3 linked regions of the Sus scrofa genome follow. The protein of the gene in region 1 purifies or fractionates together with the protein of each later gene. This does not show direct contact. Links are inferred from orthologs where the notes say so. Each region holds a gene or a part of one and is shown in the gene's direction. Other genes may lie near its edges. The genes, in order: PSMD6, RAD23B and PSME2.

Evidence for each region.
Region 2: the proteins of PSMD6 (region 1) and RAD23B purify together in Homo sapiens (affinity purification with mass spectrometry; 3 studies listed by BioGRID and IntAct, with this or other methods). This does not show direct contact. The link is inferred for Sus scrofa from reciprocal best matches to the Homo sapiens genes PSMD6 and RAD23B.
Region 3: the proteins of PSMD6 (region 1) and PSME2 purify together in Homo sapiens (affinity purification with western blotting; 3 studies listed by BioGRID and IntAct, with this or other methods). This does not show direct contact. The link is inferred for Sus scrofa from reciprocal best matches to the Homo sapiens genes PSMD6 and PSME2.

Annotation. Positions count from the first base shown.
Region 1 is NC_010455.5:45,502,397-45,511,622, reverse strand, and holds the end of PSMD6 (26S proteasome non-ATPase regulatory subunit 6), read left to right. Parts: exon of another isoform or gene 1-40; intron 41-632; coding exon 633-801; intron 802-1,697; exon of another isoform or gene 1,698-4,853; coding exon 4,854-4,931; exon of another isoform or gene 4,932-5,078; coding exon 5,079-5,175; 3' UTR 5,176-5,289; downstream 5,290-9,226.
Region 2 is NC_010443.5:248,442,417-248,453,559, forward strand, and holds the start of RAD23B (UV excision repair protein RAD23 homolog B), read left to right. Parts: upstream 1-5,574; 5' UTR 5,575-6,199; coding exon 6,200-6,265; intron 6,266-11,143. UniProt on the Homo sapiens protein: Multiubiquitin chain receptor involved in modulation of proteasomal degradation. Binds to polyubiquitin chains.
Region 3 is NC_010449.5:75,150,361-75,161,451, forward strand, and holds PSME2 (proteasome activator complex subunit 2), read left to right. Parts: upstream 1-4,209; 5' UTR 4,210-4,288; coding exon 4,289-4,336; intron 4,337-4,643; coding exon 4,644-4,676; intron 4,677-5,103; coding exon of another isoform or gene 5,104-5,166; intron 5,167-5,411; coding exon 5,412-5,498; intron 5,499-5,602; coding exon 5,603-5,633; intron 5,634-5,721; coding exon 5,722-5,819; intron 5,820-6,392; coding exon 6,393-6,461; intron 6,462-6,616; coding exon 6,617-6,684; intron 6,685-6,848; coding exon 6,849-6,903; intron 6,904-7,207; coding exon 7,208-7,294; intron 7,295-7,383; coding exon 7,384-7,464; 3' UTR 7,465-7,511; downstream 7,512-11,091. Other genes in the region: EMC9 (ER membrane protein complex subunit 9), read left to right, coding at 9,067-9,264, 9,403-9,479, 10,817-10,886, 10,979-11,073. UniProt on the Homo sapiens protein: Implicated in immunoproteasome assembly and required for efficient antigen processing. The PA28 activator complex enhances the generation of class I binding peptides by altering the cleavage pattern of the proteasome.

The DNA of each region.
Region 1 (9,226 bases):
GGAACACTGCCAAAGTGTAATATTTGAATCCCTCCCTCTCCTGCAAATATAGAAACAAATCTCAGAAACAAAAGTTTTCTTTCTCCAGGGGTTTTTATCTTGTTCAAGCCAGAAAACATCTTTTGTCTTGGTTACCTTCTTTATCCCCATAGCTGTCTAGTGCTACATTCTGAATCTGTCCTCTATTCTTGAGCTAGGCCTGGTCTTCCTGCCTTGAATCTTTGCATCACTCTAAGCATCCTCATCTCTACATGGCTGGTTCTGCAGAGGAGCCTTCCCTGTCCACCCCAATCCAGGGGAAGGCTTCCTGACCAGTCTCTATCACAATTTTATTTTCTTCACAGAACTATTCCCAGATAGTATCTTATTTGTTCATTTATCTTTGCTCTTTGAAAATTTAGTGGCTGTGGTGGCAGGGATCTTGTCTTTTGGTTTCCTGCCATATCCTCATGATTCAAGAGTGGTGATATATAGTACTTGGTAAAATAATTTGGACTTGTGTGCATTGTGTGCATAATAGTCTGTGTACCTTTTGTAGACCAAGGCTTTTAATTCTTATGTATCTGCCCTCCAGCTCACCTGTTTATTGAAAGGGATATTCTTATAATAATTTATCATCTTTTAAATTGCAGCTGTTGTGGAACAGGAAATGAAAAAGGACTGGCTTTTTGCTCCTCATTATCGATACTATGTAAGAGAAATGAGGATTCATGCCTACAGCCAGCTGCTGGAATCATACAGGTCATTAACCCTTGGCTACATGGCAGAAGCCTTTGGTGTTGGTGTGGAGTTCATTGATCAGTAAGTTTCAGTAACGTCGTGTTAATTTTTACACTTAGATTTAATGTGTGAACTTGTACATTTTCTCCGTTTACATTGCTGTCTTCAATTAAAGGCACTCTTAAGAATTTTTCTTTAAATATTATCAAAACAATTGTATTTTTGTTTTCATGATTTGCTTCTACTTTGCTACTACAGTAGCAGAGATGGAACAGAGGCTACTTTTGCCAACAACCAGAGCAGAAGTCATCTCTGGTGCATCTTTGTGATCCATGCTACTACTATAGTAATGCCCCTTAGCTCTCTATCTTGTATTTCATATTAGGTCTTATTTTCTCTGACAGTGCCTTCAATTTTTTGGTTGCTGCTGCAATTCTAAGCAAGCTGATTGTTAAAAATGGAACTCTCCGACTGTGAATCAGTGATTCATTACATAGGTAGTAAGCCGTTACTATATGGTTGGCATGTTTCAGGTCTCTTGTCTTCACAGAGTTTCATTCTAGTTATGGGGAAAGTAGACAAGGAAGCAAGTGTTTAAGTCATTTCACACAGAAGTGAGTTTGCAGAGATAGCAGAATGGCACAGAGACATTCGTAGCTGCAGCATAGTGGTCTCAGGGGTAGAGGGGTGGCTGAGGGAGAGTCAGGTAGGTGAGTGTTTGTGTAGGACCCGGCGGGTCGTGGTGTGGAGCCTGAGTTTTAATCTAGGTGCCCTGGGAAGCCACTGGAGGATTTTAAGCCTGGGGGTACCATGATTTCATAGTGTCTTACATGGCCAAGGGGACAGGGACACCGGATGGGCTATTCAGTAGCCCTTGGAGATGTTCTGGCGTCTTGGACTATGATAGTGGGTGTTGAGTTGGGGAGAAGTACATTCAGAAGAGAAGCTGTTCAGATGGTATCTAGACAAGTCATTCCCAAACAATGGATGTTGTATCCAGTGGCCCACAATGAAAAAAGTGGTGGCTAGAGAGGAGTTTTTAATGAAATTGCATTTCATTTTGAAACACCATGCTCCTTTAGACATTTTTCTCTAATATTTTATTCTGAAAAATTTCAAACATGCAGAAAAATTGTAAAGAATTATACATATATCCTTGATTCTATAATTAACATTTTGTTAAAGTTGCTTTATCACTTATCCATCCTATTTATAACTACTTCAGAGTAACTTTCAGACACCAGTACATTTCATCCTGCCACACTGAGCATGCTTATCAATATTTATTTATGGGTTGGTTTTAAGGCAATATTTACATTTAGCAAAATGCCCAGTTCTTAGGTATACCCAAACTATCGGGCAAGAAATTGCTTCATTCTCTTTCTTTGGAAGAAAAAAGGTAGTGATGGTGGTTTCTATTTATTAGCCATACCGAAATAGAAGGTTAGTATTCTTAGGTTGGTTTCATCTTATTTGATTTCTGAATTGAAGTAGTCTGTGAAAATAAGTTTGGTGACCACTGGATAGAGTGGAGGACTGTAGAAATGGGTTTTTCATGCAGGGGTGTAATGAGTGGCTTACCATGGTGAACAACACCAGAAAAATAGGGGCTGGTCTGGCTTCTTACTGCAACTCTGCAGCCCTAGTCAGGTTCATCCCTTCCTCACTTTCTTAGCTGTGCTGTGTGGTGCTGAAGCCTTGACCACTTGGGGCAGATTGAAGCTCTGCTGAAATTGTGGATAAAAATGAACTGAAGCAGGAGGTATCTGTTAGAGAGGCCGCAGTATTCATTTATGTCATTGTGATGACACTGGAAATGATGGTTTATGATACATTTCAGGTGGTATTTGAAATGTTACAGTTTTTTTTCTTGCATGTTCTCAGACCAGCTGTAGGGGTGGAGGTTATGAGTACACACTGAGCATTAGTTGTTTTTTACCTAAAAAGGGCTTTTAAATTTCTGGTATTCCTGATTCCTTTCTGGGTTTTCATGGATTCTTTTTCTTCCTTTATAAAATGATTTAAGGTGAGTTTTTTTTTTTTTTTTTAATGGGCTGATTTAATAAGTTTGAACAAGAGTTGTTTATCATTCTTCCACTTCGACTCAGGAAGATATTGTTGGAGAAAAGACTCCCACTTCTGTTGACATGGACTGTATTTTGTGATTTGTTGGTAGGCCTTTTTTTGAAACTTAGGGTGCAGATCTGATTTTTAGATTTTGTTTATTCAGCAAGTACTCCGTTCATTGTAATTGGACACCTGTTTCTAAGGGACCACACTGGGGACCTGGAGAAATACCAGTAGCTGGTGAAGATGAGTCCTCCTGGGATGTGTTTGATTAGCACACAGCAAGATGGGTCTAAAGCAGGGAATGGGACTTGGGTGCCAGTTTAGGGTGTTAGGAGTTAAACTTTGCTGTGGTAACTAGATACGAAACCATATCCAGATTTTTCTTGGTGCATGCACATGGTTCAGAATGAGTAGAACTAGGGATCAGAAAATTTGGACTATCACTGCATACTTAGGATTTTTATAGGCTGTGGTGGGGAAAAAGGACATTGCTGATGGAAGAAATGGCACAGATATATTTTAGGGGGATGTTTGAAAAACCATTACTTGGTTGTACTGGCCTGTGTGGTGGTGTGTACAGGGAGGTCCCCAGGGTTAAGCCTGGAAAGACACCATGGTGCATCTAAAGCAGTGTCTTAAAGGAGTTTAAAACTTTAGAGTCTCTTCTAATAGGCTAGGGAGTAAGTGAAGGGCTGAACTAATCTGGTGAGTCAAGTCCAGTGTTGATCTCTATATCTTGCTCCTAAATGATAAAATAAGATTCTTTGGAGGGTTCTCCCCTGTTCTTAGATAGGGGGTAGGACTGATAAGGTTGATTATATCTATCTGACTGTGTCATTTTCTCTGTGTACTTTAGTCCCAGAATAACAGGTGCAAATGGGTTTAGTAACTGTAGTTTGGAGATACAACTATTTTAAGTACCTGGAAAACAGAAACAATTTTTAATTTTTACTTAAGCCAGTCAATAACATAACTCAAAAACTAATAGTTAAAAGAAGGAATGAACATTGTAGCAATTGCAGCAAATATATTTCTAATGAGGATACAGAAATAAAGCATGCTCTATGAACATGTAACTTACTGTTCTTACTAGTTTAAGATAACCTCTAGCTTAAAATCTTCAATAATATTTAATTTATTAAAGTAGTTATTTGCAATAGTATTTTATTTAAAGGCACGGTGGGACCTTTACACACTGACTGACCAGTGGCAACTACATACTGCAGATATCTTTTATCTACATTTTCATTTAGTTTTGGATATGATCTTGGTTTACTGTTTTCTGTTCTTAACATGGTTTCTGAGATCTGTCATAATTAGGATCCCTAAATACCATTCTGAGCCAACCTTTCCCTGTTGACTTGAAATGGCATCTTTGTTAGGAGTTTGCTTCTTAAGATTTGGAGTTCCTTTTTCTTTGGTGTTTATGTGCTAGGATCAAGATGTTTTAGGAGAGTAATCTGTCACATAATTTTTATTTGCAATCTGATTTTTCTTGATTAGGAGGATTCCCTTATATTATTCTCTAAATTTAACATAATACATTTTTATTTTAACGGAGTCGACTTTGCATTTATTCTCCTTGGTAGCATTAGAAAATTGTCTTCATATAGCTCTCATACATTTCTAGGTTTTTAACTTTTTGCCCCATGCCACAGTGTGCTAGACAGAGTTTCACACCAGTGCTGTGGTTGAGGTGGATGTGTAACTGTGTTGTTTAGGATTTGGGTTGTGGCTGGAATAGATACTCAGTAATGTATTTTCACATCTACCTCAGAGGAATACATCAGGTTTGAATTCCTAACCCTAATTTATTGGGGCATATTACTTGTCTTAATTTGAAAGCTTGTTTCACTCTATTCTCTGAAGGATTTTGAACATTGAGTTACCTGCTCTTGTAGATGAGATAGTCCTGCAGTATACCAGAGCTCATTTTCTCAAGCAGTACGCAGCAACATGTTATCTTGAAAGACAACTGAGTCATGTGTTTACTGCAGTTTATTTTTCCAAGAGTCTCTATAAGACTAATGCTAAAGGCTTTTTTTTCCTTCTCCCTCAACTAGGGAACTCTCCAGATTTATTGCTGCTGGGAGGCTACACTGCAAAATAGATAAAGTGAATGAAATAGTGGAAACTAACAGGTATTCTTGCTTGTGTATCATTTGTAATACTCCTCAGAATAAAGGACGTTGTTAAAAGAAGGCATTCTTTTATAAGTAGGTCAACTATTGTTATGAAGTAATGTGACTGGTAAATAATTCATTTTTTTTTCTTGAATTTATTTATAGACCTGATAGCAAGAACTGGCAGTACCAAGAAACTATCAAGAAAGGAGATCTGCTATTAAACAGAGTTCAGAAACTTTCCAGAGTAATTAACATGTAAAACCACGTTCACAAAGAATTTCCTTTAGAGTAATTATTTGGAATTTTTATAGCTTACTTTACTATGTGCCCAGTTCAGCTGTATAAAATAAATACTGCATTGTTGTTTCTTTCAGTTTACTTTTCTCTTAAGCATATATATACCCTAGTAATGTTAAAATTATGTCACTTTTCTGTCATTTGAACATCTCTGCTTTATGATACAATGCTTATAGAGACTACAGTACTACAGCTTAAATCCTGACCCTGCCTCTTCAGTGTAATAGGCTAAGACAAGCCTATTGTTTCTTACCTTTAAACAGAAGATGGAGGTCCATGGTGGCTCAGTGGGTTAAGGATCCAGCATTGTCACTGCTGAGATCCCTGGCCTAGAAACTTCCATGTGCCTTGGGTAAAAAAAGAAGAGAAAAATGCTACAGAGTAGAAGCCCATAATTAAAAACAGTGCTTAGTACTTAAAAGGTGAGAAATGAAATGTATCAGAAGCTTTCCCTCAGAAATAAGTACCTATAAAAGACTGGAAGTTACTCCTTTTTAGAAGGATACCATAACCTAAGACTCTAGAATCTGCCAAAGCCAATCTTACTAAATATAGCTTTTTAAAAAAACCTATATAGATATTGGCAAAGGGAATCTTTTTCCCAATTATAAATGTGGTCAGATTGGGACAGCTGCTATGAAAAAAGAAATACAAAGCTGGATATAGGTGACAAAGTGATACAGGGTGTGAAGAGCTCTGTATCAGTGTCACAGAAGGCCTTTCTGGTAAGGAGATATTTAAATAAAAAGGAGGGTGAGATCATGCAGAAAATTATCTAGGGGAGGAAAGAGAAAAGTCCCTGGAGGTTGGCAGCAGAGGAATGGCCTGATTTTAAGTGTCATCATGGACCTGAGCTGGATAGGCGTTGGATAACGGTGGAATGAACCCTAGAGGCAGCTGGATTTGCTGGAGGAGGATCCCAGGCTTGCTGAATGGTCATCCTGGCAAGAGCAGTCTGGCTCGAGCTGAATTAAAAAGAAATGGGAGGAGGCATTTTACTGTAAAAGGAAAGGGAGAGAAGCATGAGGTTTTGATGCTTTTTTAGAGAGCAGGTTCACATGCTGATGGCAGTGTTTCGTTACACATTAGAGGAGAAAACACATGATCTCAGTGGATCTGTAATTTGTCAAATTGGAGACATTCAGCATTCATTTGTTTCAAACTTAAGTAAATACAAGTAATAACAGGATAGGAAATCAAAGCCCTCTTACAAATGTCATCCGTAACGGCAAAGTATGAGAAGCATTGCCTTAAATATCAAGATATTGGCGATCATCAATTTTGTACTCAAAGAGGAGCCACTGACTGCTCCTCTGCAGGTGCTGTGGGGTGGGTCAGAGGCTATTAAAATGCTGGATGGATTTGTAAAAATGTAATTTCAAAACCTGATTGAGAGTTCCCATCATGGCTCAGTGGTAATGAACCTGGCTAGTATCCACGAGGATGGGATTTGATCCCTGGCCTCGCTTAGTGGGTTAAGGATCTGGCGTTGCCATGAGCTATGGGTGTAGGTTGCAGACGTGGCTCAGATCCCGTGTTGCTGTGGCTGTGGTTTAGGCCGATGGCTACAACTCCATCCCGACCCCTAGCCTGGGAACTTCCATATGCTAGGGGTACAGCCCTAAAAAGACAAATAAACAAACCTTATGAACCATAATCACTGTAATTTCTTGAAGACACTGGGGATATAAGTATTTTTTAACAAAACATACAACCCTGAAAATCAGTGCTATCTGTTAAATCCAACATATGGTCATTAAGAACTTACGGTGTTCCTTCTGCCCAATTAAAAATTAGTAGGATTCTGTTTTTGGCAAGTTCTCTCATTGCAGTTCATGCTAGAGGGGAAAAGCAGGATTGAAATGCCAGTTTCTTGAAATAACCCTTTTCCTCAAGTCCCACCTATAGAACCATCTGGGCTGAGGTGATCATACCAGAGCCATGGCTTTTCAGTCCAGAGTTACATGGACTGTTGGCCTGGAGGAGAGCGAAATCACAGACACCTTAGTTTTCCCCCTTCCTGGCTTAAAATGTACTTGATTTTCTTTTTTGCCATTTTAGCACCACCTCCACCACCACCCCAATCAGTAGATGAGGATGGCAGGTAAGAGATGCCGAAAGAAACAAGAGATACTATTCATTCCCAGAGCAAGATAGGGAAACCAAAAACTCCAAGACTGCAGATAAAGATCTGCCTTATCTTGTTTATTCATCATTACCTTATGATGAAATAAACAATACAATTCTGAGGTGAGAGAGTTTTTCCTTTTATCTGAAAAATAACATGCTCATGCTCTTTTTTTAATGAGGCCATACTGTATAGGAGGAACAGCAGTGGATACTGCAGCTAGGAAAAGCAAATTCTGATCCCAGCTCTCCTCAAACTAGCCACCTGATACTGGGAGAAATGACCTCTTTCAGCCCATTTCCTCACCTGTAAACCCAAGGAGAAAATCAGGCTGATTAGGAGGTTTCTTTATATGAACACACTGCAAGTTGTAAAGCAGTATATACTAAAACATGTATTTCTTAGTACAGTAGTATGAATGTTGGTAGAAAACTATTGTTACATAAAATTAATATTGGGCCATCAAAACCACATTTTATACAAGAGACCAAGAATTTTTAGAATTTTTTTTTTAATTTAATCTCATTGAGTTTATGTTTTTCCACTTGTGTTTGGTATATAGTAAGACTACTTAGAATGCTAATTTCAAAGTTTGGTTCTCTGCTTTTTGACCAGGTAGTTTTTTAGGTCCAGGCCTTTATTTCTTGCAGTTGAGATTATAAGACTCAGGAAACCAAAGCATGGAGGCTTCCTGATACTACCAAGTTGCAAACTGATCACTTACGGGCTGCAACTATTGCCCACCCACATTTTTTTAAGGAAAAAATTTGATTGCCATTCAAAAATTAAAAGGCAATTCAAAAATCACCAACTGTCTAGCTTCTCTGGAAAAATGGGCAGATCAGGTTAATTCTGGGCTCACATTTCCAGTCCAGCCAAATGGCTAGCAGGTCTCCTCCAGCAGGGTCCTGTTCACCAGACCTGCCCTGTTACCTTCCACTATCCGCCCCACCAGCATTTGGGTTTACTCTCTGGTGCTACCCTGACATGTACATCTGGGGTAATGGGCAACAGCCTCCATTAACCACCCAGGGAAATTCATCCAGATCATTAAGGTCTTGACTTCATTTTCTGGTTTTGGTCTGGTTTTCATATCATGATAACCCTTTCAGGTTATCACGATATGAAAATAAGTTTGTCAAATAAGTTTTATATGCTAAGTGATCAAGTGTTAAAACACTTTGTGTTTAAGTCTCTTCAATATTGGTAAATGTTTTTATCAAAATTGGAAACTCATCACTTTTATCAATCCTAGTCTTACCCATAATACACTATCCAAGTATGAAATTAAGTCACTGGCATGAACAATTTTGAGACTACTTTTTAAGGCAATAATGCCAATTTCTTAATAAGGTTTAATTATGTATCACATTTATCCAGTGAGATAAATATTTATAAGCATGTCAAATTTTGGTAATGTTTCCTTTATAAGAGAATAGCTTTAGATCAATTTTTTAGAATACAAATACTGGAGTTCCTGTTGTGGCTCAGTGGTTAACAAATCCAACTAGGAACCATGAGGTTTTGGTTCGATCCCTGGCCTTGCTCAGTGGGTTAAGGATCCAGCGTTGCTGTGAGCTGTGGTGTAGGCCGGCAGCTACAGTTCCGATTAGATCCCTAGCCTGGGAACCTCCATATGCCACGGGTGCGGCCCTAGAAAAGGCAAAAAGACCCCCCCAAAAAAAAGGAATACAAATTGTCTAAGACCCTTTTTGTTATTAAATATTTGCAACTAACTTTGACCTAACCTAATGGCTAAAAGGATTACCTACTACCTCATTTGTTCACCAAGCACATACACTGCAATACACTTAAGATTTCATGCTTGAACACACTGAGACTTGTTAACCTGACCAAGCATTAATGGTAAATGATCAAGGGCAAG
Region 2 (11,143 bases), on another chromosome or scaffold:
CGTCCTTGATTAACCCATGTACCAGTCAGAGTCTCAACAGAAAAACACACCATATTCTAATGATGTATTGTTACAGGTTGAATTGGGTTGCTCCAAAAGATATGCTGAGAACCTAACCCCCAGTACCTCAGAATGTGACCTTACTTAGAATCAGGTTCATTAAAGATGCAATTAGTCAAATTAAGCTATACAGGAGTAGAGTAAGTCCTTAGTCCAAAATGACTGATATGAAATCCTAAGATACACACATGTCTCTGCCCCTAGTTCTTTCTAGCTGTGACACAGGGCTCTCCAAAATTCTTCTAACCTCCTGAATGATAGCAGTATCTGATACAGAACACCCAAATATCTTGGAATTTCCTGAGTAATAGGAATGTCTTTTGTTGCAGTGAGGGGTGGCTCTTGGTGGGCTCCTGGATGGGAGCTGGTCACCTGAAAGGCTGAGCCATGATCGGAAGGTTATAACTCTCAGCCCAATCCCCTATTCTTCAGAGAAGAGGAAGAGGCTAGAAATTCAGTTGATAACTGATCATGCCTGTATGATGAAGCTTCCATAAAAATTCCCTAAGTATGGATTTGGGAGAGTTTCTGGGTTGGTGAACACATCCACTTGCTGGGAGGGTGGGGCACTCCAACTCCACAGCTCCTGCAACTGGACACTTAGACCACCATGTATCTTTCCATCTGGTTGTTCACCAGTATCTTTATCATATCCTTTACTACATAAACATGTTTCCTGGAGTTCTGTGAACTGTTCTAGCAAATGATCAAACCTAAGAAGGGGGTTGTGGAAACCCAGTTTATAGCCGGTGAGTCTGAAGTACAGGTGACAAGTTGGGACTTGCAATTGGCCTCTAAAGTGGGGGAAGTCTTGTGGGACTGAGCCCTTAACCTGTGGGATCAGATGCTAACTCCAGGTAGTGTCAGAACTGAATTGAACTATAGGACACTTAGCTGGTGTCTGCAAAGAAGTGGAGAATTACTTGGTGGCTAGAAGTAAAATATTGAGAGTAGTAATAGAGTGGTGAGCAGAGAAGAAACAACAGAGTTTATCTTATTCTACATGTTTCCTTTTAAGAAGAGACACAGAGGGACAGACATACAAGAGAACATCATGTGATGATGGAGACAGATTGAGGTGGCACGGCAGGCCAAGGAATGCCAATGATGTCAGCAAAGCACCAGAAGCTAGGAAGAAGCAAGGAAGAATTCCCTGTGATAGGTGTCAGAGAGAGCACTGCACTCCCAGCACCCTGATTTTGGACTTCTAGCCCCCAGAACTGTGAGACAATACATTTCAATTGTTTTCAGCCACTCAGTTTCTGGTACATTGTTTCGGCAGTTCCATGAAACTAATCCAGGGAGATGCAATAAATGGACTCTTCACAATGATGGAGGGAAGCATAAAGGGAAACTACAAACACAGTGCAGCACCCTGGAGTGAGAAGTAAAGGCCCTCCTCGAGGGAAGGGGCAAGGTGGGGAGTAGGTGCCAGAACCTGGAAGGAGAGGATTGCTTGGAAAGCCCAGACACAGAAGCAAAGACCCTGTATCAAGAGCACTGCCAAACACAAAGAGGAATACATTCCGTATCTTCACTCTCCTCCCTCACTCCTATCTCCTCCAGGACTCCCCAGGAAGCCAACTGCGTAGTCCACACAGGGAAGCCTTCATGAGACCAACTGCTGGGTGGTGAAGCGGTAAGAAAGAAGATAGGGAGGGGAATCAAAGATACCTAGCACATTCTCTGTAGCAACTCTATTTCTTCTGAGCGCTACTGATCTTCGTAGGCTTTAAAAAATAGCACTTATTAGCAACCCATATATAAAGAGCTTTGATTTTTAGTTTATTATTTGTATGTCTATTATCTCACTGGAATATACACTCTATGAGGGCAGGGACTATGTTCCCTACTGTATCCTCAGCACCCAGAACAGTCCCTGGAGTGGAGAGGGTCTCAAAAACTATTTGATGAATGCATGTCTTGAAGTCTGCCATTTTTACCCTGGTATTTTCTAAGTCAGCACTTGCTGCCCTTCTGCTTGCTCATCTTCTTCCCTGAAATCATTTGACTGATTTCCAAAAATGCAAGCAAAATTCTCTGGCTTGATAGCAAATATTTGGAATCAACAACTCCCTCCCATCTTTTAGTCTTGGCCCAAAAGCTCCTGAAGAAGCCCAAGGCTTATCCTACAGAGCCTTGCTCATAACCAACCTTACCCCAGTGGCCATTGTGTTGGGGGGTTGAGGGAGTCCTAACATCTGTCATGTGAACTGTGGGATTCTGGGCAAAGGCACTTACATTAGACAAGGAGGCATACAGCCCATAGAACATATACTATTGAACCAAGAAAATAAAAAATAGTAATTGTGGAGTTCCCACTGTGGCTCAACAGGTTAAGAACCAGACATAGTCTCCATGAGGATATGGGTTCAATCCCTGACTTCACTCAGTGGGTTAAGGATCTGGCGTTGCTATAACCTGTGGCCTAGGTTACAGATATGGCTGGGATCTGGTGTTGCTGTGGCTGTGGATGTGGACCTGCAGCTGCAGCTCTGATTCAACCCCTAGGCAGGGAACTTCCATATGCCATAGGTGTGGCCATAAAAAAAGAAAATATTTAATAATACTTTCAGTTAGATCCAAGAAAAAATCTAAACCAGGGCACCGTTGTAGCTATCTTGAAGAGTTCTCTGGGGCTTAAATGAGATTATCCATGGAAAGGGCCTACAATGGTGACTTACCTAGCACTAGAGTAAAGGGTTAATGTATATTTACTATATACTGTTAATGTTGTTGGAGCAACATGGATGGATCTAAAGCTTATCATACTAAGAAAAGTAAATGAGAGAAAGACAAATATCATACAATATTACTTATATGTGGAATCTAATTAAAAATGATACAAATGAACTTATTTACAAAACAAACTCACAGATCGCAAAAACAAATTTACGGTTACCAAATAGGAAACATGGGGGGAGGGATAAATTAGGAGTTTGGGATTAATATATACATACTACTATATATAAATGACCAACAAGGACCTACTGAATAGCACAGGGAACTTTACTTAATAATCCACATGGGAAAAGAATCTGACAAAGAATGGATATGTGCATATATATAATTGAATCATTTTGCTGTATGCTTGAAATTGACACAACATTATAAATCAACTATACTCCAATAATTTTTTTAAAAAGTTGTGGAAGAAGTCCTCTCTGAGGAAGGAAAACATGACTGGGGCCCTGAATAATGAAAAGGAGTTAGTGGTTTAAAGATTTGAGAAGGCAGTTTCAAGCTGAAGTAACCTCTACTGCAAAGGCCCAGAGACTAGAACCATCTTGGCCTGTTCAAGGGATGAAAGGAAGGTGGGATGACAGGGAATGAGAGAGAGAGAGAAGAGATGAGGCCAAAGGGTTTGGCAAGAGTCAGATCATGTGAGCTCCCCTAGGCCAGGTAAAGAATTCAAATTTTATTCTCAGAGTATAATTAGGTATTAGGAATAGATGCGACATGCTTTGATTTATATTTGAAAAAAGACCACTCTGACTGCTGGAGAGGTTCAAAGTGTAGAAGTGGGGAGGCCAGTTGGGAGGCAGGTGGAAGATAACAATGGATTAACCTAGGGTTGTGGAAGTAGAAATGGTGAGAAATGGTTGATCTGGGGATATAATTTGGAGAATAAAGTTGACAGGACTTGATAATGGATTAGATGTGGTGGTCAGGGGTGGTAGGAGGAAAGGAAGGAAGAAATTTATCAGGGATGATGACTAGATTTTTGGTCTGAGCACCTGGGTGGATGGTGGTGCCATGAATTAGGAAGGGGTAAAACTGGGAGAGATTTCAGGGGGGGAAGGGAGGTCCAGAAGGAATCAATGGTGCTGCTTGGCCGTGTCAAGTTTCGGAGGTTTATTATATTTCTTCTTTTTTTAATGGCCACACCTGCAGCATATGGAAGTTCCTGGGCCATGGGCTGAATCTGAGCAACTGTGCCCTATGCCACACCTGCAGCAACTGCCAGATCCTTTAACCCACTGCGCTGGGCTGGGGATAGAACCCATACCTCTTCAGCAATCCAAGCTGCTATAGCCACAGCTGCTGTGCCACAGCAAGAACTCCATTATATTTCAAGTAAAGATATTACGTAGGCAATTGGCTAATTCTATCTATAGCTAAAGGTCCAGGCTGGAAGTATTTCAAAACAAAGGACGTGATGAGATCACCTGGTGATTAACAGTAGATATACAGGAAGACGGAAAGCCAAGGTTTAGATATGGAATTATAACACAGGGAGATACGTGTTGTGAAGGGGGCAGTGGGACAGCTGAAGGAGAGGGAAGTTGATCAGGCAAAGTTCCATGGAAGAATTATACCTGAGCTCTTACAATCTACAGAAAACCAATCAATGACATTGTATCAGTGAAGATGCTGCTCCAGAGAGGTCCTTTGCAATTAGTCACACAGCTAGTGACTTAATTGTAACTTTACACTTGAACTACTTTAAGTCAAATATGCAAGATGGCACTTTATTAAGAGGCAGAACAGCCAGGCACTTAGGAGCCCAGGGTCTGGAGTCATTCGGCTTGGGTTCAAATTCTGGACCCGCCACTCACCAGGTGGGTGATTCCGGGTACTACACTTAAGTTTTCTTATCTGTAAATGGGCATACTACAAATAGCTATCTCTTTATGAACTGCTTACTATGTTCCTGCCACTAAGATTTTTACTGTATACATTGTTCAACACCTCTTCTCCAATAATCAATGAAACTGAGTGCTGTTATTACTCTCAGCTTACTGATGAGAAACAGAAAGCATATTTACCCATTCCACACATATTTACTGTGTGCCTACATTACATGCCAGGCATGTTTCTTCGTGCTGGGGGTACATCAGGCAATATAACAATACCCTTGCCCTTGTGCAGCTTGTCTGTGTTTACAGAAGAGAGAAAGATAATAAATCTAATAAATATTACATTTATGGTAATTAGAAGATAAATGCTATAGAAAAAAAACAAAACAAAACAAAACACACAGCAGGGTAATGTGGTTAGGGAAATTGCGGTTTACGTTGAGTATCCACAGCAGACCTCCCCGAGAAGGGAGAGACAGTGAGCCACCCAGGTACCTGGGGAAAGAAGACTTAGGGACGGAAACAGCGAGCGAAAAGGCAGGCCCTCAGCTGAGTGCATCTGCCATGAGAGTCAGGATATATGCGAGGAAGTGGCTGTGTATCCAGTCCTAAGAACTTTTACTTTGGGTGCGATGAGTACCCACTGGACAGTTCTGCCCAGGGAAGTGATATAATTTGACCTTGTATTTAGCCCCAAGGTCCATCAAGGCAGTCTGGTGCTGAAGTCAGCGCTCTCAGGATAATAGAATCAGTGGCCACACAGCAAGCGCCCAGTAAACGCCGGCTCACTACTGTGGCTGTTTCATTTAAACCCCGCCCTGACCTACCGCCCTCTAGTTGCCCAGCTCCAGGGCTCTGCATCCACTTAGTCCGGTCTCCACGTAGCGCTTCCTCGGCTACAGATTGCCCAACTCAAGCTACCGGGCGGAGTCTGGACGTAGGCGGAGCGGCGGAGGGCGGGAGAACGCCCCCGGCAGCCGACGCGACAGGGAAGCCCCGAGAGCCCCCGAGGCGCCCCACTGACTACGCCTGCGCACGCGCGATCCAGGACGCCGACATTCCAGAGCCGTAATCCGCCCCGCCCCAATTCCGGGGCGGAGTTCTCGGCTGCGCCTGCGCACAGGCTCGCCGCACCCTACGCCTGCGCGCTCCGACAGTGCGGCCCCATCCCCCAGGTTTTTCGGGTGGGGGAGGGGGCGCGTCTCGGCGAGTCACGATGATGGCGGCCACCAGTCTGTGGTGAGCTAGCGGGTTCTCTGCTGGTTTCGCATAGCCCCTTGAACCTCCTGTAGACCTTGAGGCTGGCGCCAGGCGTGTGAAGAAGCACTGCAGCCCGAGCTCGCGAGGAAAGCCGCAGTCGCGGAGGCAGCGGCGCGGCCCAGGACCAGGGCTGGGGGAGAGGCCGCTCTGCAGGGCGAATGTGACAAGCCCCCACCCCCACCGCCTTCCTCCCGAGTGCGCGAGGAGCGCGGGCGACCCCAGGGCCCCGCCAGGCCACAGACCCCGCCCAGCGGCCAGCACCCGGAGCAGGCCCGGCAGCGGAGCTGCGCGGCGGCACCATGCAGATCACCCTGAAGACCCTCCAGCAGCAGACCTTCAAGATCGACATCGACCCCGAGGAGACGGTGAGAGCAGCGGGGAGCGCGGGGCCCGGGACGCGGCAGCTGCGCGAGTGGCCAGCCAGGCCTAGGCGGAGGTCGGCGCTGCGAGGCCTTTCGTGGGGTCCCGGCCTATATCAGAGCGGGGCCCGGCGGCGCGCCCGAGCTGGGAGGGTCCCCGGTGTACTCGAGAGGGCGCGGTGAACGGGGGTTCGGGCCCCCGACGCTGGCTGAGGCCTGCGGGCCCGGGCGCGGGCAGGGCCCCGGGGCCCTGCGGCGTGTGGCCGACCGGACCTTGGGAGTTGGCTCTGGGCTTTGTGTCAGGAGTAAGGGGAAGCAGTGGCCGAAACTGAAGCCCTGGCGGCGTGGAGCACATGCCTGCAGGGCACCGGAGGCTTGGGCCTGGGCCCTCCCGGCAGAGGGGCTTGAGGGGGAGGGAAGCTTAGGGCTGCTTCAGCGGTCTAGCCGAGCTCCCTGGTGTGGATGCACAGGTGGGGGAGGGAGATTTAGGTGTCGCCACTATTTCTGCGTGGATCTGGTTAGGCGCTAAGGTCTAGGAGGTGCAGACCGGCGATAATTAACCTTAAAAAAAAAGTGTCAGGTTCCGTTTGCCGCAGAGCGAGAGGTGAGTGGTGAAAATGCATTCTTTGCCCCCTTCCCCGCAGAATTGGGGGCGCTTTTATTTGCATATATTTTGAGTCGTTTCGCTGCAGGTCTCCCGCCATCGAACCCACACCCACATGTAGATTGCACTTTGAGGCCTCTTTGGTGGTGAAGATAGTTGTATTAGAGCCCTTCAAATCCAGGTTCGAACTCAGCTCTAGATTAACCAGTCCCCTCTGTTAGAAGTCTTGAATTTGTAGGAGTTGGAACTCTGCACCCTCCCCCAACCCACAAATAGCATTTCAGGAGAGGAAAAAGGAAGATAAAAACTTTGATTCTCTTCTGTAAACTCTTGAACATCTCAAAAGTTCACGTGTTAAAAACTCTCCTGTCATCGTCTGTATTTGTGACTGCAGAAAGCCACTGTGTTGAAATCAGTACGACTTTATGCCAAGATCTAAAAATGCCGTTCAGTGTAAACTTAGTACTTATGTTCTGGAATTGTGATTATATACATCGCTATGATTGTCATAATGCTGTGTTTAAAGCAACAACTTTCTGCCTATCTATATTTTTAAGAATAGTTGATTGTGGTTTTGGTGGCGATTAGGGGTCTTGGTGTTAATTAAGAAAACCTGAGCTCCCATTTGTCGCTCTAATTTATTTGCTATATGCAAAGATGTGAAGATTAAATAGTATTTGATTGGTGGTCAGTGAGTGAAATTTTATTAATCAATGGATAACTTTAAGAGGATAGAGTGTTACGTTTTATCTATATCATTTGACCTTAAGTTTTTACATCTTTAAATATTTAAATAGTGTAGTTCTCAACCTTTTCAGAATTGTGGCTAATTTTAGTTCAAGATATTTAATTACATGTATAAGTATGCTGTGTGATAAATTCTTAAATGTGCAGAGAGATAGCAATTTTAGATGAGAAATGCATTGTCCTCAGAAGTAATTAGAAACTCCCTGTGGATTGCTGTGACTAACAAATCAAATCTTCCTGAATATTCCTTTACTATTTAGTGTGTACTTATACATTAAAGGATGAAAGTTAAAAAGCGGCTATAACTTGAAGAGGCTGGTATAGAAACTCTTGTGAGCTTGATAGGAGCAGTAGCGAAAAGTAGTGAAAGAGAGGCCCGAGAGATTTGAGGAATCCTGGGAATGATTAATTTGCTGAACTAGTAAGTGTCCAGTGAGCTTTGACTGGCAGAACTGGGGTACAGGGACATGCAGGCTGAGGTCTGGGTCTTCCTGGGAGCCATACTGACAATAGTCTTAGTTTGGTCAGTGGCTATAGAGTAGGAGATGGACAAATTGGAAAAAACAAGAGGATTTGTTTTTAAGGTGTTTGTTTGTATTTGCTTTAGTTTTTGAATGTTGAAAGTCTTCTTCTGCCTTTTTTTTTTAAAAACTAGAGAACTTTCCTAACATTTATTTGCTGTTTTGTAACATTTACTTGATCATTACCATGCTCTGCCTTTAGTGTTAACCATTACAAAACAGACTTTATTATTATGGTAATGGTAATGCCTTTCTTCTTAGAAAATAATGAGGGAAAAAAACCAATAGAAAGTTTGAGATGAGATTTTTAAATGCACAAACTGAAATGGGAGTTTATTATTGTATAAATGACATCAAAGTTATGCGTGGACGTTTTTTGATAAGAGAATTGTGAGGATACAGTAGTTTTAATTAATACAGACAGTACGTTTTGTGTATTATACAGTAATTTGCAAAGAATTACCTCATTCTGTGGTTTATTTGTATCATGGTGATTGTGCTATAAAATACCAGTTGAGTACTGGTTCTGTGCATGGGATTTGTTAGCCATCATTTATTAGCAAATTGTTCCTATTGTGGCTTATTGTTTTTTTGGGTTTTTTTTTTTTTTTTTTTGTCTTTTTTGCCATTCCTTGGGCCGCTCCCGCGGCATATGGAGGTTCCCAGGCTAGGGGTCTAATCGGAGCTATAGCCATTGGCCTACGCCAGACCCACAGCAACGCGGGATCCGAGCCACGTCTTCGACCTACACCACAGCTCACAGCAGTGCCGGATCCTTAACCCACTGAGCAAGGCCAGGGTTCGAACCTGCAACCTCATGTTTCCTAGTCAGATTCGTTAACCACTGCGCCACCACGGGAACTCCGGCTTATTGTATTTTAATATAGTTGGGCTGGAGATAGTGCCAAATTATAGAAGTGCCCTAGATTATTAAAACACTAAGTAATAAATGTATTGAAACATTGTATTACAGAGGTGAAATTTAAGGTTTCTTGGCATATTGATGAAACAAAATACTAGAAGTATCTGGGGAATCTGGTACAGTTTGTGCCAGACTTTTGTTTTTTCTATACTCGGCACACAGCAGGCACTTACTTTATTTTTATTTATTTTCAGCTTAATTTTTTTCTTTCTTTTCTTTTTAGGGTTGCACCTATGGCATATGGAAGTTTCCAGACTAGGGGTCGAATTGGAGATGCAGCTGCTGGCCTACGCCACAGCCACACCAGATCTAAGCCTCATCTGCAGTCTACACCACAGCTCACGGCAATGCCGGATTCTTAACCCACTGAACAAGGCCAGGGATTGAACCCGCATCCTCATTTTCAGGGTCATTACTGTTGAGCCGCAACGGGAACGCCTCTGAATTATTTTTAGTATAATATTACTTAGTTGTACACAGCTATGCAATCAGATGTAAGGTCCTTATGCTATAACTCTTATACCAAATATAAGAAATGGATATTTTTTAAAAAATTTATTTATATTGGAGTATAAGTTGATTTTATAAATTGAGTGTTAAGTGTTGTGTTAGTTTCAAATGTACAACAAAGTGATTCAGTTATACCTAAACATGTATTTCAGATTCTTTTCCCATATAGGTTATTACACAATGTTGAGTAGATTTCCATGTGCTGTACAGTAGGTCCTTATTGATTATTTTATATATAATAGTGTGTATATGTCAACTCCAAATTCCTAATTTATCCTTACACATGCATTTAATAAAGATTTCTTGGGAGTGCTTGTCATGGCTCAGCGGTAACAAATCTGACTAGGAACGATGAGATTTCAGATTCAGTCCCTGGCCTCGCTCAGTGGGTTAAGGTTCCGGCATTGCCTTGAGCTGTGGTGTAGGTTGCAGATGCAGCTCAGATCTGGCGTGGCTACAGCTCTGATTCAGCCCCTATCCTGGAAACCTCCATATGCCCCAGGGTGCCACCCTAAAAAAGCAAAAAATAAAATAAAATAAGTTAAAAAAAAAAAGATCTTTTGAATGAATTAAATACATTCTCTTGGTGAATTGTCAAGTCAGTAATCCCTCAGTATTTGCATGTTGATTCATTTGTTTAGTGTTAAATATTTCCTAAAAATGTCAAGTCTTGCTGTCTTGGTACATGCACTATAGTGGACTAAATCAGTTGAAAAACAAATTTTAAAAACGAAGTAATGGTAAGAGTTATGTAGGAATCGAAATAGGGTTGAGGTAATGTGATAGTGCATGACTGCGTGGCTACTTAATGACTGGTCACAGAAGGTCTTTCTAAATAAGGTGACATTTAAACTGAGATTTTGAATAATAATAAGCACTCAGAGAAAGGGAAAGTGTTTTCTATAGGGAAAGACCTTTAAGAGTGTATTTTGGGAATCAGAAAAGGCCTTTTGTTGATCTGGTAGGTGAGGGGGAGGAGAGGTAAGAGATTAGAGAGTTAGGCAAGGGGCCAGGGCCTGTAGAGTTTTGTAAATAAGCTGGGAGTTTTCAAGGTAAAATAGGAAGCCTTTGGGGCCTTTAAGTGGAGGAGAAAAATTGTTTCTTTTATGATTTGAAAAGGTTACTTTGACTCTTTTGGAAGTTTGATGACCAGTTAGGAGGCTTGTTGTGGTAGTCTTAAAAGAGTTGAAACTTGGAGGAGGGAACTAGGAGTGAGAATGCGAAGAGAGGTGAAAGGATTTGAGATATAGTTGAGAAGGTTGAGTTGAAAAAATCTTTTTTTATTATTATAGTTGATTTACAGCATTGTGCCAATTTCTGCTGTATAGCAAAGTGACTCAGTTATACATATATATATACATTATTTTCTATATTCTTTTCCTTCATGGTCTATCCCAGGAGATTAGATATAGTTTCCTGTGCTGTTCAGTAGGACCTTGTTGTTTTGAGATAATTTTTTGATGAGGTGGAGTGGGGAAAATTGAGAAATCAAAGATTAAATATGGATTTTGGTTGTATAGTTTGTGTGAGATGTGGAGGGGTGGGAAAGGGGCAGGTTAGGGGTTGGGGGTAGGAACTGA
Region 3 (11,091 bases), on another chromosome or scaffold:
GCCAGGGCCCGAGTTGCAGAAGGTACAGTGAATACAGTACCACACGGGAGTCTGGGCAGAGGAGAGCAAAGTCTGCCCCTGCTGGGAAGGCAGAAAGAATTATTCCATTGAAGTCTGGCTAAGGCTCAAGACAGAAATACAGGAAGCTGGGGGGAAGATACCGGGTAACTAAAGGAAAACAGGGGATGAAAAAGTAGACAATGGCCTGTGGTAACGGGTGTAAATAAATAGCTGGGAAAGCCAGGAACAGGTTACCTGAAGGGGCTGCAGGCAAATGCCGGAATCCTGAGAATCCACCACCAAGCTAGGAGGCTGAGCCAGCCGAGGTCGCTCACATATGGCACATAGCACAGCTGCTGCCTCGTTTTCAAAGGTGCAGCTCTGGCAGGCCCAGTGACCCCGTGCAAGCTCAGGTTCTAGGCCCCCAGCTCCTTGGGGGCCGTCAACCCCCAGCCCCAACCCCTTACAGCCGCGGGGCCGATCACAGGCCACACATAGTACTGCCCAAGGTTCATTTAGCATGGCACAGGCAGAACAGTGCCAGGGCAGACAGGCACTTGCAGGATCAGGGGAAGAAAGAGAGCTGTCCCCCAGGGCCAGCAGGGAGGCTGACTGAGGCCGTGGTGGAGCCGAGGCAGGTAAGCTGTAATGGAAAAGCAGACGTGGCCTGCTGAGGGGGGCCCACCTGTGGCCTGGGCCCCTTACCCATGGGCATCCCTCATTCCCTGCAGTACAACACATGGCTCTGGCCTTTGCACGTGTTCTCACTGTCTGGAACACTCCCCTACCCACAGCCTGTTTAACATTTAAAAGACACCTTAAAGTTCATATCTGGCTGCAAATATTCCTAACATAGGGTCTGATCCCTCCTAAGTGCTTAAAACACTGCCCACTGACTGAGGTGATCCTTCTGACTGGGCTGCATTCTCCATAATAATCTACTTGCATACCATAATAATCTATCTTGCTGTGACTGCTACTTGCTTGTTATGTATGTCTACGATCTTCTGGAGGGCAGTAACTGGCTGTTTGCCCTCTATGAAACAGTCTTTAGCATAGGATCCAGCACACAGTCAAATAATTTTTTTTCTTTTAGGGCTGCACCCATGGCAAATGGAGGTTCCTAGGCTAGGGGTTTAATCAGAGCTGCAGCTGCCAGCCTACGCCACAGCAATGCCAGATCCGAGTTGTGTTTGCGACCTACACCACAGCTGATGGCAACTCGGGATCCTTAACCCACTGAGCGAGGCCAGAGATCGAACCTGTGTCCTCATAGATACTAGCCAGATTCATTTCTGCTGAGCCATGATGGGAACTCCAATAGTCAAGTAATTTTAAGTTTCCTCAATTTTGCTCCCACACAGAAGAGAAAGCCTCTCACCTGGGGGTCAGGTGGGTAGCCTGGGGGACCCCTGGCAAGGTCTGGCGGAGGTGATGTGCTCGGTCTGGGTGTCCATGGAAGAGACAATCGCAAGTTGGGCACAAGGCCTGTTTACAGGATGAGCAGTGCAGTGTGCCTGGAGCAGAACCGCAGAGGAAGCAGGGACCAGGTGTGGAGCCTGGAGGTCAAGAAAGAAAGAAAACAACTCGGAGTTCTCGCTGTGGCACAGTGGGTTAAGAACATGACTGCAGTGGCTCAGGTTGCTGTGGAGGTGCAAGTTCAATCCCTGGCCTGGGGCAGCAGGTTAGATCTGGTGTGGCTGCATCTGTGCCATGGCTCACAGCTGTAGCTCAGATTCAATCCCTGGCCTGGGGATGTCCATAGGTTGCAGGTGCAGCCATTTAAAAAAAAAAAAAAAGAAAGAAAGAAAAAAAAAGAAAAAAAAGGGAATGGAACACCCTTCTGAAAAAGACCAGGTTACACCTGACTCTACGGGGGGACAAATCACAGACTACTTTTCAGCATATCTTTTCAACCCAAGGAAACTATAATCTCTTTCTAAAAAGAAAGGAAGAAGATAGAGAACCAAGAAAATAGAGGAAACTTCCATCAGTATGATCTACTAGCACTCCCTCCCCCCAGTTGAGGACAGTAATACCTGGGGCAGAGGGTGTGGTGAGGGGGCCAGGAGCAATCTGTCTCAGTAAGGGGGCAAACTCTGAGAGCTGCAATATCTGAGGAAAAATGGCAGGGAATGAGCAAGGGCTTGGGGATACAGGCCCACAGGAGGTCCCCTTTGTTCACCCAGGGCCCCATTCCTGCCTTCCTTACATCATCTTCAACCTTGTCTTTCAGCAGCTGCTCCAGTGCTTGAGGTTTTGGATGAGTATTCTGCAGACGAGATAAGAAGAGTTTCCACCTACAGCCCCAGAGCAAGGCCCTCCCTCAAAGCCTTGACCCCCCAACATTTACAAGGTGAAAAGTACAAGGAGTTCCCAAGTCACTATGGGGACTATGCCCATGGTTCAGCAGCATGGGGGTCCCCAGACTATCTTTGTTGTTAGGCTGGGCTCACCAGCCCTGGTGCTTAATTTAAGTACTCGGGACTAAAGATACCTCACCTGTAACAGAAGACTGAGCTCTGTCCGGAGCAGCAGTACTTCCAGTGTGACTGTGGCAACTTGGTGCTCATCTGGTTCCTCCTGCCCCTCAGGGAAGCTTAATCCATCTGGCTGCTCCTCTGTGTAGCCATATAATCGCAGAACATCCCGGCCCCCCTGCCACACATTCAAACTAGTCAGGGCCAGCAGGCCCCCTTCCCAATAGGGCTGGACCTCTCCCCATTCAGCACAGCCTCAGGGCCTTTCTAGCCAACCCCCAGCCCAGGTTAAGTCCCCTTCCCCCATAAGGGGCCCAGAGGCTTCACCTGCACAGCATCCACCGTACTGCGAAAGACAGGGTTATTAAACTTGACCCCGCGCCAGTACCGGGGCCGCTGAGGACTGAGAAGGTTGCGGCCATATTTCTCCAGGATGTTCAGGGCCGTGGAGAGGGTGCTGAGGTAGTTTCGGGGCTGAGAGCAGTCAGAGAGCAGAGAGCTGTGAGCCCCGACCGGACCTCTGCTCCCCTGTCCCCCTCCTAGGCGGGGCTGGGCCTCACCTCCCCATGAGCGTTGCAGCGGACCAGGCGTGCAGCGTTCAGCTGCAAGTAGCGGGCTGCTGGCGGCAGAGAGGTGACCAGTAGTGGCCGAAGCTGCTCCACCGAAAACGCCTGCCCGGAATCCCTCCTCAGGGCGTTCGCCAGCTCCTCGCGGGCCTCCAGGAAGGCTCGCTCCTCCTCCTCCCTAGGCATCCTAAGACAGGAGTCTGCCCCAGTCCGCTGCCCGCCGGAACCCAGAGCAGGTTGGGCGCGGCCCGAGAGCCGCCCCGAGCACCTGGGGTCTGGCTTCGCGGAGCGACACGGTCGGCACGGGAACCCTAAGTCACTCAGGCCACGGTCACTCTTGGGCCTCGGGCCCCACGCCAGGATTAGCGGGAACAGGAAGTACTAGGGAAGAGGGCGGGATTGCGACCCAGTTTCAGGGGAAGGGGAGGGGTTTAAACTTAAGGAGGGGCGGGGCCCAGGAGACCGGGGCGTGGCCAACAAGCCTCAGCCAATGAGAATGGTAAATAGTCACTGGCTCCTCCCTCAGAGCTTCTAGGCTTTAAACCTTGTTCTAGCGCTCTTCCCTACCTTGGTCCAGTCCGGTGCCAACCCCTGTGTATAGCCCCAGGTTCGGTGTTATTTTATTTCCCTCAAAGCCCTTCTCTCTACCCGAACCCCACAGGGGAAATCCCACTCAGGAACTCAACTCTGCCAGCCTGAACCCTACACAAGTCCCTTTTCCAGTCGGTCTTGAAGACAGGGCGTCCTCCGGGAGGAAGACCCGCCTGTTCCCTTCCATATCCTGCTATCCCTTCTCCCGCCTACTACTTCTCCTACCCGACTCTGATCTCTCTCAGGCCCCTCCCCTCAGTCGAGCCTTCCTAGGGGAGCCCCACCACTAAACACCCCCTTTCCCACTCTTCCACCCTCTCACCCCAAACCTGGACATCCCCTTGATGTTCTTCCCCCCCATAAGCCCCGCCCCTTCTCCAAGGGACAGCCCCTGTTCAGTCTCCGCGGTCCAACTTGTCCTAGCCCCTCCCCTGGACAGCCCCTGGGCTTGTGACCAAGTCAGCACCGCCTCTCCTAGTCGCACAGGCCGAGAATGGCAGAGGGGCTCCCAACAGTTTGCTGCCTTCCAGGGGGAGGGGGAAAAGAAGGAAGGGGGCGGGGTTGAGGGGGGCGGGCCTGGACGTGGGGAGTGAAAGCGAAAGCCCAGGCTGCGAGCGGGGAGACCGGAGATCTAGCAGCAACTGGAGCAGCATGGCCAAGCCTTGTGGGGTGCGCCTGAGCGGGGAAGCCCGCAAACAGGTATGGGGAACCGGGAGGCCAGGAAGGGTCCAAAAGCCCTCCCGAATGGAAGCCAAACTGGGTGCTCCAGGGGACCAAGGCCGTGCCAGAGAAATCCCCCAACCTCCCTAAGTGCTTTCACTTCTGTCCCGAGAGTCCCAGATTCCTGCCCTCTGAGCAGTCTCTACCTTGGGCAGGGGCTTCCAGGGAAATGTGGCTTGTAGTGGGAAAGGCCTGAGCCAAGTTGGAGGGCATCCTGTTGGGGGTGGGGTCTTACTGTGGGCAAGTGAGACCCTTAACCAACATCCGGGTACTGCTCTCTCTGCAGGTGGATGTCTTCAGGCAAAATCTTTTCCAGGAGGTAAGTCTTCTGGATTCAAGTGATTTGACGCAGAATCTCAGACCAATTCCTGAGCATTGCAACTTCCCAGACCCCTAAACCCACCCTCGACCCAGGCCCTACTTCCCTTATCAACCTTCACCCAAGATAAGCTCCTAGTTACTAATCTCTTCTTTTACTTTGACCCCTCTTAATACCTTCCCCACTTATGCCACTTCCTCTCCCATCTTTCGGTGTGAAGGGAAAAGCTGTAGCCCCAAAGCGGGAATACCACAGTTCTAACCTTGGTTCTACCACTTCCCAGCTTGCTCCCTTCACTTTTCAGGGATTCAGTTTCCTCATTTGTAAGTATTGGATTCAAAGATTTCCAAGGGCCCTTCCAGTCCCACTCCTCAGACTTCTCACTGAGTGTCTTCTGTGATTCTTACCCTTGAAACATAACCCGCAGGCTGAGGAATTCCTCTACAGATTTTTGCCTCAGAAAATCATATACCTGAGTCAGCTCTTGCAAGTGAGTAGAGTGAACCTCTTCTGTCCCAACCCATGGCCCCTCTCCTCTCCATCCACTCTCTCTAGCTAACAGCTGGGCTCCAACTGCAGAGAAGAGTTGCGAGTAGTGGACTGGGAACATTAGGATAGTGCCAAGCCTCAGCCTAGGTTGGGAGGAGGAGGGTGGGTACGATGTGTGTGGGGGAAGGCTGTGACTCAGGAGGACGGGAAGAGGCTGGGCAGTCCCTGACAGTGAGCTCTGTGCAGGAGGACTCCCTCAACGTGACCGACCTCACTTCTCTCCGGGCCCCGCTGGACATCCCCATCCCAGACCCCCCACCCAAGGATGATGAGGTGAGGCACTTAGGGCATAGGGCTTGGGCTATAAATCCACTGTACATAATGGTCTGCCAACCTCCATGACTTTTCTAAAGTTTCTTCCCCCCTTTTCTCCTTAGATGGAAACAGATAAGCAGGAGAAGAAAGAAGGTAAGAGGGGAAGGGGGGAGGTTAGGGAAAGAGAAATGGCACACTGATTGCTGGATGTGAAGGGATCTAAATCTCCTCTTTCTCACAGTCCCTAAGTGTGGCTTTCTCCCTGGGAACGAGAAGATCCTGGCCTTGCTTGGCCTGGTTAAGCCAGAAGTCTGGACTCTCAAAGAAAAATGCATTCTGGTAAGCTTGGGAAACTGGGGGACATAGAAAGAGAAGACAAGCAAGGCCATGCCTTGATCTCCTTCAGAGTTCCAAGTCCTTCCTTTAGGAACCTATTCTCAAAATAGGGAGCTTCCTTCTGTGCCTTGTGTTTAGATAACTTTTGCTCTCCTTGTTCTGCTAGACCTCTGATATTACAGTGGTACCCTCTAAATCAAACTGTGTTGCATCCCCCTCCATAACCTCAGAACCTACTGCTGTAGCAGGTACACAGTGCAGGTGCTCTGATACAGTGAGTTGGTTTAAGAGCTTGGACCCTAGAGGGAGACTGCCTTCATTCGAATCCTGACTCTATCACTTACCTAATTGGTTACCTTAAGTAAGTCACTTAGACATTCTGTGACTCAGCATTTTCATCTGTTTAAATGGGTACAAGCCTGAAAGGTTGCCGTGAAGATTAAATGAGATATATAATACATAGCACAGTGCCTGTCAAATAATAAGTACTCAGTTAAATGTAGCTATTTTTAGGAAGTAACCGTACTAAGAACAGAATTTTGTTGAATGATTCTTACATGATAGCTCTTATTGTAGGTGATCACATGGATCCAGCACCTGATCCCCAAAATTGAGGATGGAAATGACTTTGGGGTGGCAGTCCAGGTGAGAAAGGGTCTGTGAGGATGCTGAGAGCAGGAAGAGTCTTGGGGAGTAAGGGATAGAGACTAGATATGAACTGCGAGGAGGAGGTAGACAGTGAGTGAAAAAGGGACAAGATGAAGTGTTTTCTTTGCCTCCCATCTCTTTTGTCACCACAGGAAAAGGTGCTGGAGAGGGTAAATGCAGTCAAGACCAAAGTAGAAGCCTTCCAGACCACCATTTCCAAGTGAGGGCAGCTGGAGGGCCAGCACAGGGGTCTGCAAGGACATTCTGTGGGGACTCCCAAAGCGGGACATGCCCATCGGGATAATGGGGGGCCTTGGGAAGGGTCTGAGGGACTATCTCTCTCTGAACACCCACTCCTATGGTTACTCCCCTTGCTTTCGGCAGGTACTTCTCAGAACGTGGGGATGCTGTGGCCAAGGCCTCCAAGGAGACCCATGTAGTGAGTGGATAGTCCACCAGCCTGTTATTGGAGACTGGCTGGGGGTGGGATGAGGAAGAGGGCACAATGGTCCTCCTTGTTTTGTCTGTGACCTTCCCAATGTGGAGAATATTAAGCCAAAACCATTGCCCCAAACTTGGGCTTCAAAAACTTTACCTCCTTTCTCTGCTGGATCTTGTGGGATCCCATTTCCTGGTGCTGAGAAGGGGCTCATTCCTCAAGTTACCTATTCCCTATATGAGGAAACCAGATGAATGTCCCAACCTCCCATGGGGCTGACTCAGCTTTGCCTCCCACATCCCAGATGGATTACCGGGCCCTGGTGCACGAACGAGATGAGGCAGCCCATGGGGAGCTCAGGGCCATGGTGCTGGACCTGAGGGCCTTCTATGTGAGTCTGGAGTAAGCCCCTAAGGGAGGTGGATGAGGGGGCAAAGGAAAGGCCAGGAACCTGACTGTTGCCCTCTGGCTTTCTTCCAGGCTGAGCTTTACCATATTATCAGCAGCAACCTGGAGAAAATTGTCAACCCAAAGGGTGAAGAAAAGCCATCAATGTACTGAGCCCAGGGTTGTAAGGGAAATAAATGACCTGTACTTTGTGTGGATCACCTCTGGTGTGTGTCATTTATTCAGAAAGCAAAGTGGGAGTTCCCGTCATGGCTCAGTGGTTAACGAATCCAACTAAGAACCATGAGGTTGTGAGTTCAATCGCTGGCCTCGCTCAGTGGGTTAAGGATCCGGGGTTGCCTGTGAGCTGTGGTGTAGGTTGCAGACATGGCTCAGATCCCGCATTGCAGTGGCTCTGGTGTAGGCCGACGGCTACAATGCCAATTGGACCCCTAGCCTGGGAACCTCCATGTGCCGTGGGTGCGGTCCTAAAAGAACAAAAAGACGAATAAAAAAAGAAAGCAAAGTGTCACCTCTGTCCAGCTACTAAATGTGAATGCGATGATGGGAAAGGGAGGGGTGCCAGGAAGACAGAGATGAGTTAAGAGGTCCATCCTGTTCTTAAGAAGTTATCCTAAATAACAGTTACATGGCCTGACAGCCATGAAGATAATCTGTATTTGGGGATTTCACAAGATTTTTTCCATGTGGAAGGTCTCATGAGTTCTTCCTGAAAGAGGCGGCATTTGGGCAGAACCTTATAGGAATAATCAGACTTTGGACAGATAGAGGGAAAGCTCTGCGGCTGAGATCAGGGAATGAAGAAAGAAACCACCCTTGCCATCAGCTCAGAGCAAGCCTGAAGAGAGAATGAGGCTTCCCCGGGGAAAATTATGCTTGGGTTCCTTCTCAAGAGCTGGGAGGGGAAAAAAACGCTCCCAAAACATTTTGGCTTAAGGAAATTATACCACAGGACATTATCGGAAGGATGGGTCTATAAAAATCTTTTTGACCTTTACCCCCGCTTGCAGTCAAAGCCGTTTTTATTTCTGTAGATATTACACTGAGGAAACCAACGGCCCGATAACCTGTGATTGCAAAAGTAACATGGCTCATTAGTTAGTGGCAGAGCCGCCCTAGAGCACAAACCCATTCATTCTATAGTAGGAGTCAGGCGTCCCCTGTGTACTCACATTGGTTCGAAGTTCCACGGTTCCAAAGACACCCGACGCGGGACGCGGGCTCCACCCAGCTGGGCCTGTAGGGGCGGGCGGCAGAGATAACAGACGCAGTCATCCTGCAATCCGGAGCCGAAGTGGGGTAGCCTAGCCAATCAGCTTGAGGGAAGCTCTCTACCGTTGTGGGTTCTTTTTCAGCCGCCGGAGACAAAGGCGGGGCAAGATTGGATGCGGTTGGTGATTGGGCAAAACGAGACACTCTAAACCTATCAAAGATCATTACGTGGGCGGGACTCCAGAAGCTGGTCAGGCTTGGAGGCGCAGGTTCCGTGTCCCCGAGGCAAGCTCTTCTCTGTGGCCGCCACTTGGGGGCGGGGGGAGGCGGAGCTCGGTGCTGCAGCATGCAATCCAGGCCGCCCGCCTTCCGGGCCAGGTGGGGGCCGGTCGCCAGGCTGAGATCGGCGGGAGCCGGTGGGCTGTCTTTGAGCTGGGTCAGCGCCACTGTCGAACCTAAGTGAGGAGGCACGGGGAAGGGCCCAAGAGGGCCCTCGGGCGTTGGAGGGGGCTTCGCGGACGAGAGCTGGGGGCCCCGCTCGCCATGGGGGAGGTGGAGATCTCCGCCCGGGCCTACGTGAAGATGTGTCTGCACGCCGCCCGCTACCCGCATGCCGCTGTCAACGGGCTATTGCTGGCGCCCGCGCCGCGGTCGGGAGAATGCCTGTGCCTCACCGACTGTGTCCCCCTGTTCCACAGCCACCTGGCCTTGTCTGTCATGCTGGAGGTCGCCCTCAACCAGGTGCCGCCGCTGGACGCCCACCTACCACCCTAACCAGCCCCTAACAGCCCTAAGCCCATCCCTGGCCTCTTGGCAATAGTGCGCACCCACGGGGCGGGCGGTACGATTTAGTTACTGATGGTCCCTTTCCCATGGCAGGTGGATGTGTGGGGCGCGCAGGCCGGGCTGGTAGTGGCAGGGTACTACCATGCCAATGCAGCTTTGGACGACCAGAGGTGAGTGCCAGAGGCAGAAGGCTAAGGGTTATGGGGTGGGGGAGTCAAGAGAACCCTTCTTAGTCATTCTCTCCATTTTTCCTTCATCAAAAGCTTAGGAGTAGGCACTGTACATCAGGCACTAGGCTGGTACTGCAGTGAGGAAATGTAAGGAAACATGTTTCCCTGGGGGTGGGGAGGACAACTACGTTTCAGTAAGAACAGGCTGACACCTGCTTTAACTGAGATGCACCCCCCCCACAAGTGCTGAAAAAACACAAAGGAAACCCAAGCAGCAACTTTTTAAAAAAGAAAGTTTTTTTATATATACAGTTGATCATTGAACAAGATGGGTTTGAGCTGCCTGCGGACCTTAATAGGTGAAACAGTTGGTTGAATACCCATGCAGAATCTGTAATGGAGGGACCACTATAAAGTTACCTGCAGATTTTCAACTGCAGGAGGGTCTCTGCTCCTAACCCCTTCGTTGTTCACCAGTCAGCTGTATGTAGAAAAAGTTATCTACTTACATAGTACTCATGTATCTGGATCAACTGATACTGTTTTGTAATTTGCTTTTTCCTCCTTAATAAATATCTGACACCTTTCCATCATTACACTATTATCTACCTTACCGTAACAGCTATACAGCATCAGTATGGATGTACCATAACTTTTTTTTTTTTTTTTTTTTGTCTTTTTGTGTTTTTCTTGAGCCGCTCCCTCGGCATATGGAGGTTCCCAGGCTAGGGGTCGAATTGGAGCTGTAGTCACCAGTCTACACACCAGAACAACAGCAACGCGAGATCCGAGCCGCATCTGCAACCTACACCACAGCTCACGGCAACGCCAGATCCTTTTACCCACTGAGCAAGGGCAGGAATCGAACCCACAGCCTCATGGCTCCTAGTCGGATTCGTTAACCACTGCGCCACGACGGGAACTCCGATGTACCATAATTTATTTAATGCCTTACATTAAACATTGAGGTTGTTTCCAGTTTTTCGTTATTATAGACACTGTCCTATTATTACAGTAAATTCTTTAATAAGTAGAATTTCTGGGTCAGCATATATATAGTATACAGTATAAATTTGGTTGGTTATACCAACTTACTCTCCAGAAAAGACTATCTTAGATTTCCACTCTCACCAGCAGTATCCGAGCACCTATTTTCCACAGCACTCAAGCTTTGGGCAGTTAAGCGTGAAGCATCAAGTAAGCCTGATACCCCCCAGGCCAGCTACAGGGAAACGCCATTGCTGCAACCACATCTATGGGACCTGGGAGGCCCAGCTCTGACGGATGGGGTCTATCCACAGTAGGCTCCTCACGACTCTGATCTTCCCTCTACACAGCCCTGGGCCCCTGGCCTTGAAAATCGCTGGGCGGATTGCAGAATTCTTTCCTGACGCAGTACTCATTATGGTGAGGCTTGGGTTTCAGAGTGGGGAGTTGGAAAGAAAGTAGTAGGAAGAGGGATCCTTGAAACCCTTACCTGCCCTTCCTTGTCCACACAGTTGGATAATCAGAAACTGGTGCCCCAGCCTCATGTGCCCCCAGTTATCGTCCTGGAGAACCATGGTCTCCGCTGGGTCCCCAAGGACAAGAACTTGTGAGTGCCCCACTCCCT